Linked DNA regions of Neodiprion lecontei. The protein of the gene in region 1 purifies or fractionates together with the protein of each later gene. This does not show direct contact. Links are inferred from orthologs where the notes say so. Each region holds a gene or a part of one and is shown on either strand. Other genes may lie near its edges.

Region 1 (6,032 bases):
TAATAAAAAATATCTTAAGTTACCTGCTCTGACTATCTTCTCCACTTCAGAAACCTGTCCTTTCAATGGCTGAATGATGTGATCACCATTCGTTTCATCGTTCGATTGATCTTCGGTAACATTTTCGTAAGAGTTCGTAGGCGGTATTGTCGTTTCGTCCACCACTTCGGAGCCTGTCTGAAAATTTAATTCCCTACTTCAACCAAGGGGACTTGAAAAATACATCTTTCCCAGGCTGCTCAATACAACAGAACCTTAAAATACGAACTTGATGTTTCTAAAGCTATCAAGCGTGTGACACGGTTAGTTAGGGAATGCCAGGAAACTTGAAAACATAATCAAATAAAATTGCTCTCCTATTCTACGTTTTCAATTCTGATCGCATTACCTCGAGCGGTTCCGCATTACTTGGACCATCCCACAGCTTCGTTGATAATGGCGGACTTATCGTCGCGTTCGTTGTACTTAAATTCGGGCTTTGCACATCGCCAGTAACAGACAGACTTCCAATTTCAACGTTGGCGTCTGTTTGCGTGAAATTCTTAGCAACGTTTTCGCTTTCCGCCTCAGCATTTCCCTGTGCGTCTTCCTCGACAGTCGAAGGTTCGATGTTCAAAAATGATCTGTTCAAATATTAGAGGAATCAGAATAAAAACCTTCGTGCGATTATTATTCATTTTGCATTTTTTTTTCGCTACTTCTCTTTGAATATATGCTGTGCAATTAAATAGTGAGATATATTCGAAATATATCGGAGAAGACCTACCCATCTCTAGCTAAAATTCCTAATACGCTAGCGAGGTCATCGACTTTTTCCTGCCTCAACTTCTCCTCCTTGGCGTAACTCTTTTCTATGGTATAATCTTCAGCGCCATTTCTGAGGATCTCAACTCTCAGAATACCATCTCGAGGCCAGTCGTCTCTTATGTGTTCCAAACAGTTGGTTGGTGCTCGGGAAAACACTATGTGGATGTATGCCAGCACGAAAAATGACGTTATTGCCTGAAACGATACAAATTAACAATTTTAAACTGCAATTCATTCGGAGGCAAGCACGGGGGATAGCGCCGGGATGTAACAAGTATCTAACAACGGAGGACTCCGTTTGATAACAGCAAGTATTCGGGGAAGCATTCGACTGAATTCGAAATATCTTCGCGATATCTTTTTGAAGATCGCGGGAAGTAATACAAACTTTAAATAAGGTTTCGTAAATTTGCAGTTACCACTTTACAACGTTTTATAATTACAACTCCGCTACTGCTTGAACAACTGCATTCGCATTCTTCCCCGCTAACCCGATATGAAGTAATTTAAAAAAAACTGCGCACGTCTAGAATTCCGTCACACGACATTATCCAAAGCAGAAATCCGGCGAGTACTGGTTCTAATTTCCGTTATGTTCGCCGCTATTTGCCCAATTTCTCCGAGATCTCGCGACCCTTTGCTGAACTAACGCGTGCTTTGAATTACTCGTAAATACTTTCTCTGTTCTAAGAAATTCTACTTGAACGATGCCCTTATAGACATCTTTGAATAAACCCTTGACCGCCATCACTGCTGCGTATAGATCAATCCAATAAGTATAACCGCGCTCTGCACCTGCTCTTGGTAGATATGTGTAAATCGACGGAGTGGAAGAATGCAAACATTAAAATGTGCGTTCAAACTCTTGGCTGTGGGTTTTTTCATTTTAGTACACGCAAATTCGGACATCTTCTACGGAATATTCTCTAAAAATAATAATAATAATAACAATGTCTCAGAAACTGGCATGGAGATATTTCCACATTACAAGACGGAAGGCAAGTTTCGGAAGTTGAAGAAAAATTTCGAAACATGTAAATTATATAAAGAAATAGAATGGTTAATGTCGTACTAATATAATGAGAGTTACCTTGAGCAATACGATAAATTCAATAAATCGTCGAATAGGTCTGGGGAAGGCTCTGGCGTAGGCAAGGGCGGCCTTGATGAAGAGGGCATGAAATAGCCTGTCCCGAACATTGAATAGTGGATTTTGATTATTGTTGTTCCTCGCCCTGTTCATATTGTTATTATTCAAGGGCCCAATGGCCGCTGCAAGTCCGTGATTATTATCCGCCCCGACTATGCCGTTGACGGTATTAACTGGTGGAACAGGTGGCAGGGGCGGTGGTGTCGGTGCCGTCGAAGCTATCGACGAGGGTGATGATGACGATGATGATGTCGAAGGAGTAACAGTTACCCGGCTCTCAGGGTTGTCCGGTACTTCCGGTGGCGGTGCTGCGTCGATTTCTGACATTTTGCAATATTAAACGATTCGGTAATTATTACCCTCTTATCTTATCGTTTCTTTTATCTCTATTATTATCGATATTCTTATTATTCTTTCGTTGCGTAAAATAATTGTCAGTGTGTCGTCGTCGTCGTCGTCTCGGACCCCGTCTTTTGTCGCGTTTTTTAAATTATTTTCAAAGCCGACAACCAATCATCGTATAGGACCGGGTTGACTTGTTTCCCGCACGCTTTTTCGTCCGGTATAACATTTCCGACGATCCGGGGTAGGGAGCGTAGCTCCGGACACCGCCGGCGAGATGCTCCTGAAACAATGTTTGGGAAAGAAATGTTTCCCTAAAGTAAATCATATATTCACCTTATCGTTTAACAATTATGGCCATTGTTAATCGTCGGTAGGTACATCACAACTCCTCGGATTGCCAATGGATTAATATTCAATTCTTCAATGTGGTATTTTAATGAAACAAATATTTAAAAAATGTAATAAAAAAACCATTCGTCACATCGCGGCGATCACGTGGCAATGACAGCGCAGTATTAAATACGGATACAAAACGCACGCACACGCGTACACATAACTGCAGTGCTAACACTTTCCCGAGAGAACGTGTTATCGTATTTCGATATAATTTTCAAAGTATTTGTAAAAGAAAACAGGCAATAAAAGAACTGACTGATCGTGATGGGAAACCGAAGAGAAAAAAAATAAGCGCGGAGAAAGAGCGAGAAGGTGTATAGAGTCGAGGATGAAGCATCTAGACGACACCGCGGCAATGCATTCCAGTATCGAACGAACGGTATGTAATATGAAATATTTAGAAACGCGGAAGAGCAACAGACTGGTGCAGCTGGTGCTGCTGGTGTCCTACGAAAACCATAGGACAGCCCCGCCGCCGCTGATACACTGAATAGCTAAGTGAAGACCAACGTACGTTTCTTAGTTACGTAATTATCGCAACGGAATAATCGTCATCCATCGACCACGGGTGACTCTGCTATTTTCAATACCGCTAATCATGCAGCTATCGAACTGTCAACCACGGATCCGTGCGGCCTGGACTACGGAGCGAACCAGTCACACGGACGGACCTGCCTGCAGCATGCGGCGAGTCTTCCCAGCTTTTCGTACAACGAAGACAATTCGAGTCGTTTGCCAAGACGGAGGAAGTGCGCGAACAAGTTCTCGGTTGTGAGACAAGAACGGGGGAAAATTACAAATACAAATATTTACGTGCAATAATGGTGTGTTCCGATAAGCGTGCGACGAGAAGTGATGCCTATGAATCTACCTGTCCACCTACCTATCTACCTACCTCCACACACGTCACATACACGAGAAAACTGAGTCAAGTCAGGCTACGTACCTCCGCGCACCTTTCAGCCCTATGCCAGCCAGGTATTTTCGCTCGACGAGGTCCGCCGCACCCTCGACGAACTCGCTGTTTCGACCCTTCGATGTCGTCGGTTTTTATTACCCGCTATGCCGACGTTTGTACAAATTTTTGTTACAAATTTCTAGGTTCGTCAAAATCCTCGCCTTATCGTCATATGTTTTGACACACGACGCAGACGGTTCTCAGCAGCCTTGCCAACCGCCTTTCATCGCACGATAAAAAGTCCCCGTGGTTTTGGTGCTTCTTTTTAGAATTTTACTTTCTCTCTGACAAGTCGTCGACGCGACGTACTTCTATCGAAGCGGACTTTGCCGTTGGCTAATCGTGATTACGGTTGTCGATTCATGGGTTCTTCTCATCCACCAATTGAAATTTATCACTAATACCGGTGGCTGACCAGCCTGCTGTGGTCTGCGACGAAACAGTTTCGTTAATTCCCACCGAGGACGCTACCTATTCCTTGAGTCTGAGGTGGTTGCCTGTGACAAGGCGGACTTACGCGCTGATTATGATTTCAAGGTGCCTCGATATAGTATCGAACATGTGGAATAGAATTTGACATTGGCCCACTTCGTATTCATGCAGACCCATCAGTGGAAAAAGTTGAATAAAATTCTTTTCTACGCCGTTCTTACGAGTTGATATCGTGGGCAGTCTAATGATGGGTTGAAGAAAAGCGGTGTATAAATCTAGACCATTTGTAACAAGAGTATTCCTTGATGTTTCATATTTTTGATCCCAGCTTACATTAAACTGTAGTCTAATTGAATTACCACTCTTTTGAATGACGCTCAAGAAATTTTAGCCTGTCTAAATTCTCTGGTTCTACACGATTGACCGAACTGGGTAGGAGACAAAGTGTACAAGAAAAAATGATGAGCACATAGTACAGAAATGAAAATAAAACGTGATATTTATTCCAATCGTCTTTTTTTTTTTTCCTTTTTTAACAAGTATGGATTCAATTACAAAGAGAATATTTTGCTATCAATAGTGTACAATACCTGTATGTCCATAGTGTTGCATTTACCCCTGGCAATCATTCAGCAAAACATCCCGTTATTCGCATTATTAGGGGGGACATTTCTATTAAAAGGTATAATAAGACGTAAGCATGTCATAATTCGACGTCAGACAGCAGAGAATATTGTCTCCGTCTTTAATTGATCTATTCAGTTTCAAGTTTCTTTTTTCCCTTGCGTATTGATTTCAGTTTCATCGTCTTGTAGAATATCAAAAACAGAACCAAACCGTGTGTGAGACGGCGGAACGCGACGATGTCTACAATCAATCAGCACCGTGAGCACAATGGTCACCCATTAACTCATTCAAAATCGAAAATTTTGTTAATTTGTTGCATCGTTTTCTACCAATGTGTTAGAATTTGATTTTTCTATAGCTTGAACAATAACAAAGACTCCAAACTTCGCTTCGTGTGAAACTAGAGTGTCCGTGCTTACCATTGTCGAGTGGAAGGTGATGACGATAAAATCATAGCTCGACTAGGGTGAGGAGGCTTACGTGGACTGTATCAGGCAGATAATTTCTTCTTTGAGATATTCGGTGGGTCCCTTGGTATCTAAAATCTCCGTATCCCAGCTGAAATTCAGTATTGATGCGGGGACCAGTCTGTTGTCAACCAAGGTCTTTTCATAGTCTTCATTCCCGAGACGATGACCCGTCGGCGTTGTTAAAACGAACGGTATCTCGTCACTGATCAAATTCTCTCTGACAAATTCTACGACGTTCTCGACCCTTTCGTAAACCGCGAAGGTGCCTTGAAGCATTACCCCGTCCGGGAAACGCACCCGTATCAAGGCGTAACGGTATTTCTTCATTTCTCGCAATTCCTCTTTTTCCCGCATCGCCTTCGTACGGAGAATTTGACTCTTTGCTACCGCTTCAGACCTGTGCTATGAAATAAATTTTTGCCAATACGTGTCAACTGCTATATTTTCAAGCCAAAATAAGAAAAATAGTGGCGCACCTGAGCTGATGCTCCTTCTTAATCTCCTCCGGCGATATGGTGAAGAAAATTGGAGGTAATTCGTTTCTTTTCGCTGCCTGACTGGGCAGTAAGACTTGTAAGTTTCTGTCCAACTCAATTCGAACGGGCTCTGCCGTCCTCAGAGCATCAACCAGTATACCGACTTGCTCGATCGAAGATTTTTCCGGATTCCAAACCAGGAAGTCCTCTTCCTGTTCCTGATGCGCTAGTTTGACCATCTCAAACCCAGCGGCTTTAAACAGCTGCAAGGCACCCTCGACGGGCTTCACTTTGTCCTACACATTGAACAGGTATCGCTTAAATTCACGAAGAAATCATTCGATTCGGGTATCTTACATTGTTATTCCAAC
Region 2 (6,308 bases), on another chromosome or scaffold:
GCTCAATGAAATTGTAGTCAATTTCGCTATACATATACTGCGGGTATAAATTACAATCTTATTATAAATGTAGAAATTTTGACGGTAAATTAATTTGTGAAAGTGTCTGAAAGAATGATAGAGTATAGTTATATTGGAAGCTTACCTTTTTGGTATAGATGAATGTGACATTATCGTTACTGTGAAAGACGATATATGGAGCTTTCTCAGTAAGCGCGTTATTCGTACATTTCTCGGGAAATTTATTTGAATTGGTATTCTAGGCTGGAAATTTGAAAAAATCAATTTTTTAGGCATCTTATTATAGCTACATCATTTAAGAATATTTTAGCCCGAAGCCGGTGCGGTTCAATAGAGCAGAGTTCGAGGCTAGAAAGATCAGTCTATGAAGAAACTGTGACTAGCAAGAACCGAAAACTTTAAACGCATTTATCTCGAAATTACATTTTTCGACCTGGTTGACATGAAATCGCAAGTTCTATCCACCCGATTGACTTGAAATTTGGTACGAACCTTCAGATACATCCCTCTATAGTACCTACCACGGGCAATCACTTCAAAAAATTGAAGACAACGAAAAAAAATAGGGAAAAAATTAATTTTACCTTTAAATAAATGCCATTTTTGTATTTTCTGTTTTTTTTTCCTTTCGGTACAGGCTATAGCGAAATTCTTACTGATCAAGTGGTTTTACTGTTTTATGTGAATTAGGACTATGGAATCGTGTCAACCGGCCCATCTATTTTTTTTGTCACGGCTCTATTTAGAGGCCCATAACTTTTTGAATTTTTTTTTTCACAAACACTCAACTGTAAGTTCTTCAATCACCAATAAAAAGAGCGTGAAAAAAATGGGTGCTAAAATAATTTTCATTCTTTTTTACACCAAGCCCAATAAAATGCCCGAAAACTAGACCTTTAGACTAGAATACCCCCTTAATTGATGTATGTATTATGGATGGGGGACAGTCCACATTTCATTGTAATATTTTCAGGGATAGCTGCACGGTCAAATATCAGAAGTTATTCGCCATAAAATCTTTCTTGGACAGAAGTAGAGGTATTCACGAACTCGGCAGTGCCAAAGAGATAAAAAAAAAAAGCGGTGCAAATTCAAATACCGATGAATTGCTAAGTACACAAAGGATCAAGCACAAGAGTCAGAAAAAAACTAGACGACGAGCAAGTAATTGAAATTATCAGGGACATCAGCCAAGGAAAAATTAAAACTGTTGCATATTGCTATTTGCAGACTAATTGAAACACCTTCCTGGAACGAAGCACGTTACATACTAGCTTTAGTCAACGATTATTCAAAAAACGTTTTCCCTACTGAAAATGGTCAAGTATTAAATTATAAAACATAATGACTGAAATTCACGTGTAATTTGATACATGATTTATTTTGTAAATTTGTTAAAATAAATAAAAATCTCATAATAAATTACAAAAGCACGAATCGTCAGATATAATAAATCAAAAATCATATAGCGAACTGAATAATTTTTATACGATTTTTGATCAATTGTTTGATTTTTTTTCACTTTGGTTCTCAGTCAATAGATTTAACGCTCGAAACATAACAGTGACTCCTCGAACAAACATTCTAGTGTTATTTGCATGAAACAACACGAATCCATATTATATTCTATTTCAGGAAGCAAATGTTTGTTCGAGGAGTCACTGTTATGTTTTAAGCGTTTGATTCCCACTACACGTATTCGTTTTGGAACATCGTTCATACTTCTTCCGTTAACTATACTTGGTAAACATTATGAAAACAATTGATAACATTTTTGAAATATAACTTTGTTTGGGAACAACATAATGATGTTCGAAGTCGTCGGTTTTTCCGCGACAAACGGCATTTAAAAAAATTATTATATGCATAATTATTGAAACTGATTGCCGGGGATTATGTATATACACACAATTGGATTACAAAGAAAATTAAATGAAAAAAAAAAAAAAAGTTGCGAATAGCGAGATACGATCCCGCGACCACCGGATGACGGGCCAGAGAGCTTACCACTGCGCCTCGCGACCATTGAATTATGATTATCGTAGTAAAGTATTTGAACGTGATGGAATATTTCAGTGTGGATTTTCTCGACAACGACAAAGAAGCGCATGTTAATGCTTTGCCACATTACACCTCTGGCCTTGAGCTTTTATTACGCGCAGTATGAATCGAATCTGAATTTCACAATTGGCTTTTACAGAACCCATAGCGCATGCGCAATAACTTTCTGCATTCTGCTTATGGCTTCTGGTTTTGTGTGCTTCGGCCTTAAGGCTGATTTTTCACGTGCAGCAAACAGCTGAATGCAACCGCAGCAAGAATGCTCTGATTGCTCATCAATTCTGGTGGTTATTTTGTCATCATAAAACAACTAGGAAGACACTAGAGTCGGAGAATGGAGATACTACTAGACCGCAGCGAGGCATCTGGGGGCGAACGAGGAGAATAGAGATGCTCGTAACAAGGTCCCTAGATTAGATCGCTTCGCTCGTAACGGAGTCACACGGCGACATTGAAATGAGGTTTTGTTTTTAGACCTGATACAAGACCGCGATGCCACCTATACTAGGGATCAACTTTCATTCTAGTTTCTTCTCCTTCTACTCCATGCTCGGTACTTTACTGTGCTAGTCAAAAAACCTACTGCTAATTGGATCGATCACTTACAGTGAAATTCACTTTTCGAAATGTCAAAATGCGTACGTGTTAATATTCAACATGCAATTATGTGTCATCACCATTACCGAATAAATTAGGACCGGTCTAACCAGTGTTTACAGGATTTGACGATCAAGCACATCGTTTACGTGTTATTCCGAACATCCGTTTCTCATTAAATAACGAAAATTATCTGCCAGATTACAGAACTTGCGCAATTCAAGAGTTCGTATCAGGCAGTCTGCCAAGAACTTTGAAGTGTCTGCGGTGTCAATATCAGTGTTTTCAAACAGTTGGATTTCCATTCACAGTCCGTAAGGTTACTACTTGTCGTAATTTTTAACTCTTCGAATCATTTATTATTTACTAAATCTAATTCGCTAAAACATAACCTCTGCTGATAGATAATTTTTCGTCGCTTTTCATATGGGTAATTTATAGATTTAATTAAATTCTGTCAGTCTTATTTTCAAGATCATCACCTACTCGTTTTCAGTAAATCTTATCAGATTTCGACGTTTTCCTAATCCCAACGTTGCGAATTCATTGTAATATCTGTCATATGTAGAGTCTCTTCTCTTTCATTTTAGCTATTATACTGTAAATATAATTAACTCTACACTCACTCAGTAATCATTGCAGTGGTGTAACATTCCCACCTTTGAAACCACTTTTCTAATCATTATTTTGATGCATAAATATGTAACATCCATTCGTCACCTATAATATTTACCAAATCAAGAGATAATTTAGAGCACCGTTGTAGATTGAATAACTGCTGATCCTTATCTATTTTAGTAAAGAATATCAGATTGAATAAGAAACATAGTCATAGTAATAAAGTAAGGCTTTTTTATCAAGGCAAACCAAAATTAAAAAGAATAGCAGTCTAGTTGCACAAATTATTACGATTGCTGCCTTGAATTTAGTTTTGATAGTACAAGTTTATTCTGAAAGTGCATGCATGTAACTGCAAGCTCTTTTTATCACAATGACATTACCAACTTATACCAAGTTTAAAAATAATCTCATTGTATGTACAACTGATCAAAATTGATAGTTATAGTCGATAAATTTATGATAATACCGATATTTTTCTTACAGGTCATTTGACATTTGCAATAAGTATATTGTCAACATTGTTTTTTATACACATATTTGCAAATTATTATTTATCATCAGTTCTACCCAAGATGGTAAATAAATTATTTATCAAATATTTGGAAAGATAGACTATAAAATTTCAAAGTTCTTCAACGAAGTACATGATGCACACAAATCGAGGTGGATTCTGACCAATTCAAGGCTGCCAGTGTCGTCTGCTATTTATGTTAAATAGTTGGTGGCAGACAACATTGGTGGCCTTGAACAGATCAAAACTCACCTCGCTTTGTGTACATATCTCAAAATGTTAAATACATGGGAATATCAGAAAAAGCGGTAAAAGCTTGGGAATTATTAAGATTTTCTTTGAAAAATAATTTCTTACTTAAAATCCAAGTCATTGTATAAAGCGTTTAGTAAATACGTTAAAATCATTTGCAATGCACATCATTTGAATGTGAAATTGTTTAAATTTCAAACTTTTCAATCGATCTCTTTTCAAGATCATCGCGGACGTTTGTCAGGACAAACAGAAAGACCGGAATTTCTTAAAAAATGTATTTTTTGGACACTAGAGGTCTGAAAACATAGATTCATTGAAATTAAGATAGGTTGTTCTCGATCAAAACCAATATTTCTCTTATATCATTAGAGGTGATGAACAGTAAAAAAGCAATTATAATTCTCAGGGTATCTTCTGCCTCTTAAATTTACCTACCTAAATCCTGGAATTATTTTGGGACATAAATATTGCTTCTTAGGTATGGAAAAGTCTGGAATACTTTTGTTATAATTTATTCTGGAAAAGTTAACATAATACATTTTTGATTGAATAACCACAACATTTCGTTTGCAATTTCCGAAAAAGATTTATATTAATAATTGTGGTTTGCATTGAAATTGACATCATACCAAAAAAATTTATTTGACGTCAAAGGCATATCATGATAAAACAGTATAAAGTACCATGAAATACTATAGTGTGGCTAAGAGCTACCATGAAATATTCGTGAAATATTGTAAAATGGTCGTGAAATATATGAAATACTGTCAAATGGTGTGAAATCCTACGGAAACTCAATGCTATACCTGTATGCTATGAAATGGTTGTAAAATGGTCAGGATGCAACATTGTCACGTAGTTGCCCACACGGTTAAAACTGCAGTCTCATGATGAATTTGTATTTTGAACGCCAATTTCAATCAGCTTGCAGTGCAGTTGATGAGGTGAAAGTTAATATCGGTGTAACAATGTATTTTTTGAAAAACTCATCATATTTCAGGCTTTAGAATTTTCCGAATTCAGGAAATCGTGATAGAACATCGCATACTCAATTATTTATACTTTGTAAATTCAATGTGCTAGATGCCGTGAACCTTACCGTTTCCATATTTTTAACGATAAATATCATTCTGGCCTATATGCCGCTCCAGCAGTCATGTCAAACTGCACAGTGTAACATGATATACATGCGATTGACGGAATAAAATTGAACAATATTATTGTTTGATATTATCATCGAATTTTATGTTCTTCGTTTCTCACCAGATGTCTTTTACTTTTGAATAGAATTTGTTATTAATTGCAAATACTTTTATTTGAAAATTACTGTCATATTACTAAGTGATGGTGAAAATTTGAATTAATTTTGTTGTTCAATATATTAACTTCACAAAAAAACAGTTGATGCTATTCAATGAAACAAGTAAAGGCAGAGTTTATGCCAAAGTATGTTTTTAGATTTCTTTGTAAAGCAGTTTACTAATATAATTCGTTGTTCGCTTTTTCGAAAAGGAGCTAGCTGAGATGAGCACCGCGAAAGAACAGCCCGGGCCGTCGAAGCCTTCGGGGTCAGCGCAGGAGGAAAAAGAAAGGGATGAACGCATGTTCGAGTGCAATATATGTCTGGATACAGCTAAAGATGCTGTGGTCAGCATGTGCGGACATTTATTTTGGTAAACATGAAGATTCATGATAACAAAATCTGTTGTTAGGCTTTGAACAGAGGATAGCCAACATGATACTAAGAAGTCGAAACTCAACAAATGCACATGATACACTGCAAAACTCACCTGTATTAAGATGACATGACATGTAGAATCACGTTCTTGGTAATGACTTCCTTCATTAGAATCTTCTGAAAAAAATAGTATATATGTAACGGAAAAATTGAAATCCTACAGCTAAAATTTGTGATTAAAAAAATAAAGGCAATCCTATGGTCTTACCAAATACCACAATATAGCTCTTTTGTGCTATGATATTTTGAAAATTTGTGCCAAATATTTGATAAAACCACTTTCTTTCAAATCACATCTTTGTAGTAGGCACATATGGAATCATTTTTTTTTTCCACAATATTAATGAAAATTGCTGCTTTTATCACTTCTTTATCCACGGTTCAAATTCTAAAAACAAAATGTTATTGTAAGTATTACTATTTTGGTGTTGAAATCGTGAGTTTAAATGGTGTTGTTATAAAATAAACATTGAAAACAAAGGTCGGCTCTAAACCTATGGTCAG
Region 3 (5,933 bases), on another chromosome or scaffold:
TTTACAGAATATAATCGCAACGAGAATTTGTCGCATTATGCAACTTTACATCTGCAAGTAAGTTTGGCGCGAGAGCTGCTGCATCTCGATCGGCTCGCTTATTCCCACGGGATCCTGCGAGATCAGAATCCAGATCTCCAAATAACTGCTACCGCCTCTGGAGGACTGTATGTCCGCAGCTTCAACCATATTCCACAGAATCGAGTGTCCCGCAGTCTCTTCGAAAAAGACGTTCACCCACCGCTGTTTGCAAGCGGAGAGAGCATTTCGCGAGTTCATACTACGGCGCCGATATTTTGCAGTGCAATAAATTCGAGAGTCACGCGACTCCGTCGGATGCTGAGATAGCTCGGCAAAATTTGTACTCTCTAGCAATTTTCTTCTCGCGCTTATGTCTGAAAAGATTGTGATACGTATGTTCGAATCCGTAACTTTGAGCTGCTCGCCAAGCAAAGATAATGCGGATATCCCTTTCTTCGATAGCATGAAACTAGAAATTCATTTTTCTTTTCATCGATCGTTAGACACACGGGACCGAAAATGTCTGTTATCACTCGTTTGTCAAGTTCAACTCATGTTGACTTCGTTAAAACTATTTTATACGGGAATAATTTTCTCTCATAGTTGTGGGACTTGACGGAATTGTGATCTTCTAAGTTGTGGAATAATTATACGCCGCCTACCCGTACTGGATACCCTTCATTACCCGAAACCATACACATAGGAGTCGACCAACTTCCCCTCTATTCATCGACTTTCCCTCAGTAAAGGATCCTTTCATCCAATATTTGGCCAGACATCCCCAAGTGGGACATGTGTTTAGAATCACTCAGCGACAGCAGGTGCGACCTGCCTCCCTCGAGTGTAGTACACACATTATAACACTCCACACGTGAATTTACGGGTGGTCCATCCCCAAAAACGTGCGAGCGTTGTGGCGGCGACGGCGGCGGCATGGCAGCAGCAGCAGCAGCAAGACCGTGTGTTTGTTGTCTCCTACCCCTATATACGGCGCAGCAAAGCGGCGAGCAGGCTTGGTGATTGTTTATTTTGCTTTCCAATATTTTTTAGACAGAGGTCTGGTTTTCAAAAGAGCAACGGAACCATGAAGAATGGCCTGCGATACGTGAGTGCCCTGGATAGAATATGCCTGTAACATACGTATAACGGATATGCGACGACGGAGCTGCTGTCCAACAGACACGAATCCACGCTTATGTACATTTCCCAACAGAGACTGAATGAGGCAAATTATTGGGGTAAATAATATTCACACAGAAACTCCCTTTCAATATTCATTCACTAAGGTCCCTCTAATGATGTACGAAAAAGAAAATTCTTGTCTTCTCTAAAATATTATTTGAATACATACATTTATATATATGTATATATATTTCTTATATATATATATATATATATACATAGGCAGTCACATACAGGAATAAACAGCCTGTTCATTGCTGACGAGTACCCGATTTTCATTGTATTTGTTTCTTTTTTAAGAATTGTTTAAAGAACAATAAGACAGCAGTTCCTAACTGTAATCTTATAAAAAGATGAAATAAAAGTAAAATTTAATTATTTGCAATACCACAAACAGTACCGCGCCGTAACGGTAATGCATATGAAATAAAATATTTCAAATTGATCACTGTTTTGGTACATCTTACAGTTGTAATACAAACATATTGTAGAAACAGCAACGCAACTCAATTTCAGACTCATAAAAATTTACATGGAACGGAAGACGATTCAGCTAATTATTAAAGTATACGATCAAACATTCGAATATTCGAAGACCCATCTTGGCAGGCTTGTTATTTCAAGTGTCATTCGAAAATATCAGTTAAATGGTATGTTATTATAACACGAAACGGATTTCGAAAGGTAGCAGTACCATTCGGTATAACGCTTGAACGCACACGATTTCAAGAGTATTATTTGTAACGAAATTCAAACTGTCACATTTGTAACATTTTCGTACCCAGAATGAACTTGCATAATATTTCAATACCATTAGAAAATGGATTTACTGTTCGATTCAATCTATTAAATTAATACGTATGTGTAAGAAAAGGTAAAATTCTGCATTAAAGTATTAAATAAATAAATTTCTTGTTCAGGCTTTCAATATGCACATTTGAATTAAGTAGAGTCCCAGAGTTGGGAAATTTGGATCAGAAGCAAGCTCTATCTGTACATCAAGACGAATCAACCGGGGATTACAGTTAGTCTCTTGGTAACACAGAATTATCGGTAAGGTAAGGATCTGTTTCACCTTCTACGCTCTGCAGTACCAACAGACGCAGAGTATTTTGTTGGATAATGTTGGGTCAGGTTAAATCACGTAGTTGCACATTCTGCCACACGCAAAGCGAGACTCGAGGTGACATTTACACCATATGCACCCACGTTTAGTTCAGTAGTGAAAATATCGCAATTAAACACGGTCCAGGATGGGGAACAAACGTGGAGAGACGCTGACACTCGAGAACAATGAAAACACACAATTTATTGGAATGCTCGTTGCTGTGTTTACCATATTTATCACGCTAGGTATAATATTACATGAAATAGATTAGTCTTAGGTTATGATTTTCGACAAATTATTGTGTTTCGGTGTGCACCGTTCCCGCTAATGCACCGCATTCAATTTACACAAGTACATAACATTTGAACATGTAAACATGCGCATTTTGTTACTAATATTGAAAAATCTCGTTGCTGCACGAATTTATATAATACGATTCGATCTATATATAGACAATTAATCTCAGAGAGATAAGAGTAACAACAATTTTATGCATAATGTATGTACGTGGCATATGGTAAGATGATATATTGGCATTTCTTCCAACAATGCAGGTTGTATCAAGCTAAATTAATATCGTGCCATTAAAAGCATAGATCTCATATTAAAACAATATCATAGAATTTACAATAGTTATAAAATAGTATTAAAATAGTGAATAAAAAGAAAACAACTCTAGCTTCGTGATTGTGTACATAATAACAAAATAGATACATTATTGGAAATTGAAATATCGATTTCTTCCGTAGAGTCAAAAAAGAAATTAACTGTACACAATTTGTAACAAAATTTCTTGTTTACAAATCCACAGTTTTATAACAACGACATCGACTTGAGCAATAATCATGTAAAAATATATATAGTTACATTGTTTTATTCAACCTAACTAATGATCTACATACTTTTAAAAATATGTGGCATCATTTTATTATTTTAGTTGTATTTGCTGTATGGCGTAGGAGAAGATCCGTTGGCCGAAGCCTGATCTTGGCAGGGCTTAGTAACGCTGGAAAAACATTGCTGTACGCTCGGCTCCTTCATTCCAAATATGTCGCGACACACACCTCTGTTAAAGAAAATATCGGGGACGTTACCATCAATAACGTAAATTTGAAACTAGACTTATTTCATGATTGCAATTTTTTCCAGATTTTTAGACTAATGTGCTATGCTGTAAAACATAAAATACTAGACAGAATAAATCTACTCTTCTCTTCTTTTTTTTTTCAGAGCGCTTTGCGAATTGTTGACATTCCTGGTCACGAGCGACTGAGGCAAAAGTTTTTTGACAATTACAAGTCTTCAATAAGAGGATTAGTCTATGTCATTGATTCAGTGACCATACAAAAAGACGTCAGAGATGTTGCCGAGTAAGTACATAGTGAATTACCGTATTGTTCCGAGTACAAGACGGCCCTCAATTCTGAGACAGTATTTCAAGGTAGTTTTTTAGTTACCCGCACATCAGACAACTCCGCATATAAAACAAGGTCAATTTTGGGCAGGTGCTGTCAACGACAAAAAACCTCCGCTTATATTCGGAACAATACGGCATACCATCATTTCCAATTAATTTCTCACGATTATGAATAGACTCCTCTTCAGCATTAATCAACTGTGATAAAACTTCGCCATTCCTGTACAGTTTAAATTTCTTATCTGTTACAGATATTTATATACGCTCCTGTCTGATCCTACGATTCAAAAAAATGGAACCCCCGTGTTAATTTTGTGCAATAAGCAAGATCAAACAACAGCCAAGGGATGCAGTGTGATTAAATCTTTACTTGAAAAAGAAATTAATTTGCTTAGGGTAACAAAAACTAATCAGTTAGAGACTACGGATGCCTCTTCGTCAAATTTTTATCTTGGCAAACAAGGTAAAGATTTTGAGTTTATTCATCTAGGCTCGAAAGTTGATTTTGCTGAAGCCAGTGCATTCGATAAAGATTCTGAGACTTCTGCTGACATTGAACAATTGGATATCTGGCTACAAAAGATAGCTTAGTACTTGAGATCTCATAAATCATGCTTACACCATATCGTTTCATTGGCTGTATCGAATCTACACGATTATTGACACAATATGCACATGGCCATATACGTATTTTGCAACATGAATAATAATTTTTAACTTTTTTTTCTATTCATTATTATATTGCTTTATTTCAGAATACATATTGCGTTTATTACTTAAATACATCATTACTGCCTTTAATTTGATTTGATATAAGTCGTGCTATCTGTAAGTTACAATTTTTACTCTAAAAATAAAAATTAATTACATTTAAAAAAAAGAAAATCATAAAAGAAATAGCGTTACGTTTTTGCAATGGTAAAAACAATGTTGCAACTTTGATGGGGGGATGAGAATCACTTTGTATACTATGCAGAAGACTTGCCTACCTCAAATTTTTTATAGTTTACATGGAAGTTATTCACCTACCAGAATTTTTAACTACCAAGCTTCAAAGCCTTAGCTTACACCAATAAATTATACAAGTATTAAATCTCTACGAGAAATACATAAAAACTAAAATGTTTATTACTTTAAGGAAACTCATAAAACTTTCACTGAATTTTGAAAATCGAAAATTAGTCATCTAAGATCAATAGGGGAAAATCCGAACATCAATTTCCACGTGGTAAGCCGTCCGTCATATTTACAGATGATATCTACTGTTTACCGACGCATGCTGCGACGTTGCCAGATTTACGAACGTCAAGTTGAAGTTTATATTATTGCTTCAATAGCTAAATTATGACCAATTACTGAGCGGTAAAACTTTATTGATTACGGAATACCTTTGAAGTGATGTAGAAGATTCGTATTTACATGACTCAACCCACGGTCAACTCAGCTTACCGCCGTGTTTATGTTTCACGAATAAATGTTACAGACACTAATAGTAAGCCCACGAATGAACCTGCAGTCAGTATTATACACATGTCACGAGTCGTGAAGAGCCCGAGAAGGCACGACTTAATTTTTCCGAACATCCGTGCGCTTTAATTCTTTTCCGAATTAATGAATCAGCCGAAGTATTAAACATGATATCGCATCTTTCGACAAACGTATCAACGCTTCGGCGCGCGACTGCGATCTTGTCTCAAAGCCGACAGTCAGCTGTTCAATACAGTCCAGCTAGATGACAACACACTTTGCAACGTGAATATGATCGATATTCTCGAAAACTTACCGACACGAAGTAAGGTGATGTTCCCTGACATGTTGACACAAAGATTGTTCGAATACCAACTTGAACATGGTAGACAGTGTATTCCCAGTAGGGTCCGTTTTGTCCACAGTCATGTAAACTGGATAAATCTACGGAGGATCAAAGGTAGTAAAACCAGTTCAGGTTTAACCACGGTCCCGTGACTTAGTAAAAACGTGGTAAAAACATACAGGGCTCTGCCCATTGCATTGCCTAAGCGGTCGCGACTCCCTATCGCCTGCTTGATACAAAAGTATGACTTAACCAATAAACGAGTTATTGAAAATAAAACACTCTGCAAATATATTGAAGTTGAATTTCGTACGTAACTCTAATTAACCGTTATATTTGCCACTTTGACGAATGCATCTCACGCTCTATTGACAATTCTCATGTAGAATTCA

Evidence for each region.
Region 2: the proteins of membralin (region 1) and E3 ubiquitin-protein ligase RNF185 purify together in Homo sapiens (affinity purification with mass spectrometry; 3 studies listed by BioGRID and IntAct, counting the BioPlex papers as one, with this or other methods). This does not show direct contact. The link is inferred for Neodiprion lecontei from reciprocal best matches to the Homo sapiens genes TMEM259 and RNF185.
Region 3: the proteins of membralin (region 1) and signal recognition particle receptor subunit beta purify together in Homo sapiens (affinity purification with mass spectrometry; 3 studies listed by BioGRID and IntAct, counting the BioPlex papers as one, with this or other methods). This does not show direct contact. The link is inferred for Neodiprion lecontei from reciprocal best matches to the Homo sapiens genes TMEM259 and SRPRB.

Annotation. Positions count from the first base shown.
Region 1 is NC_060260.1:40,954,836-40,960,867, forward strand, and holds the start of membralin, read right to left. Parts: upstream 4,047-6,032; 5' UTR 3,512-4,046; exon of another isoform or gene 3,416-3,511; intron 3,331-3,415; exon of another isoform or gene 3,213-3,330; intron 2,928-3,212; exon of another isoform or gene 2,636-2,927; intron 2,583-2,635; 5' UTR 2,285-2,582; coding exon 1,898-2,284; intron 1,003-1,897; coding exon 767-1,002; intron 624-766; coding exon 389-623; intron 178-388; coding exon 24-177; intron 1-23. Other genes in the region: UBX domain-containing protein 6, read right to left, coding at 5,192-5,582, 5,662-5,957. UniProt on the Homo sapiens protein: May have a role in the ERAD pathway required for clearance of misfolded proteins in the endoplasmic reticulum (ER). Promotes survival of motor neurons, probably by protecting against ER stress.
Region 2 is NC_060262.1:22,952,320-22,958,627, forward strand, and holds the start of E3 ubiquitin-protein ligase RNF185, read left to right. Parts: upstream 1-2,627; 5' UTR 2,628-2,708; coding exon 2,709-2,720; exon of another isoform or gene 2,721-3,109; intron 3,110-5,578; coding exon 5,579-5,739; intron 5,740-6,308. UniProt on the Homo sapiens protein: E3 ubiquitin-protein ligase that regulates selective mitochondrial autophagy by mediating 'Lys-63'-linked polyubiquitination of BNIP1.
Region 3 is NC_060261.1:37,092,489-37,098,421, forward strand, and holds signal recognition particle receptor subunit beta, read left to right. Parts: upstream 1-2,359; 5' UTR 2,360-2,456; coding exon 2,457-2,556; exon of another isoform or gene 2,557-3,248; coding exon 3,249-3,415; intron 3,416-3,541; coding exon 3,542-3,681; intron 3,682-3,979; coding exon 3,980-4,319; 3' UTR 4,320-4,513; downstream 4,514-5,933. UniProt on the Homo sapiens protein: Component of the signal recognition particle (SRP) complex receptor (SR). Ensures, in conjunction with the SRP complex, the correct targeting of the nascent secretory proteins to the endoplasmic reticulum membrane system.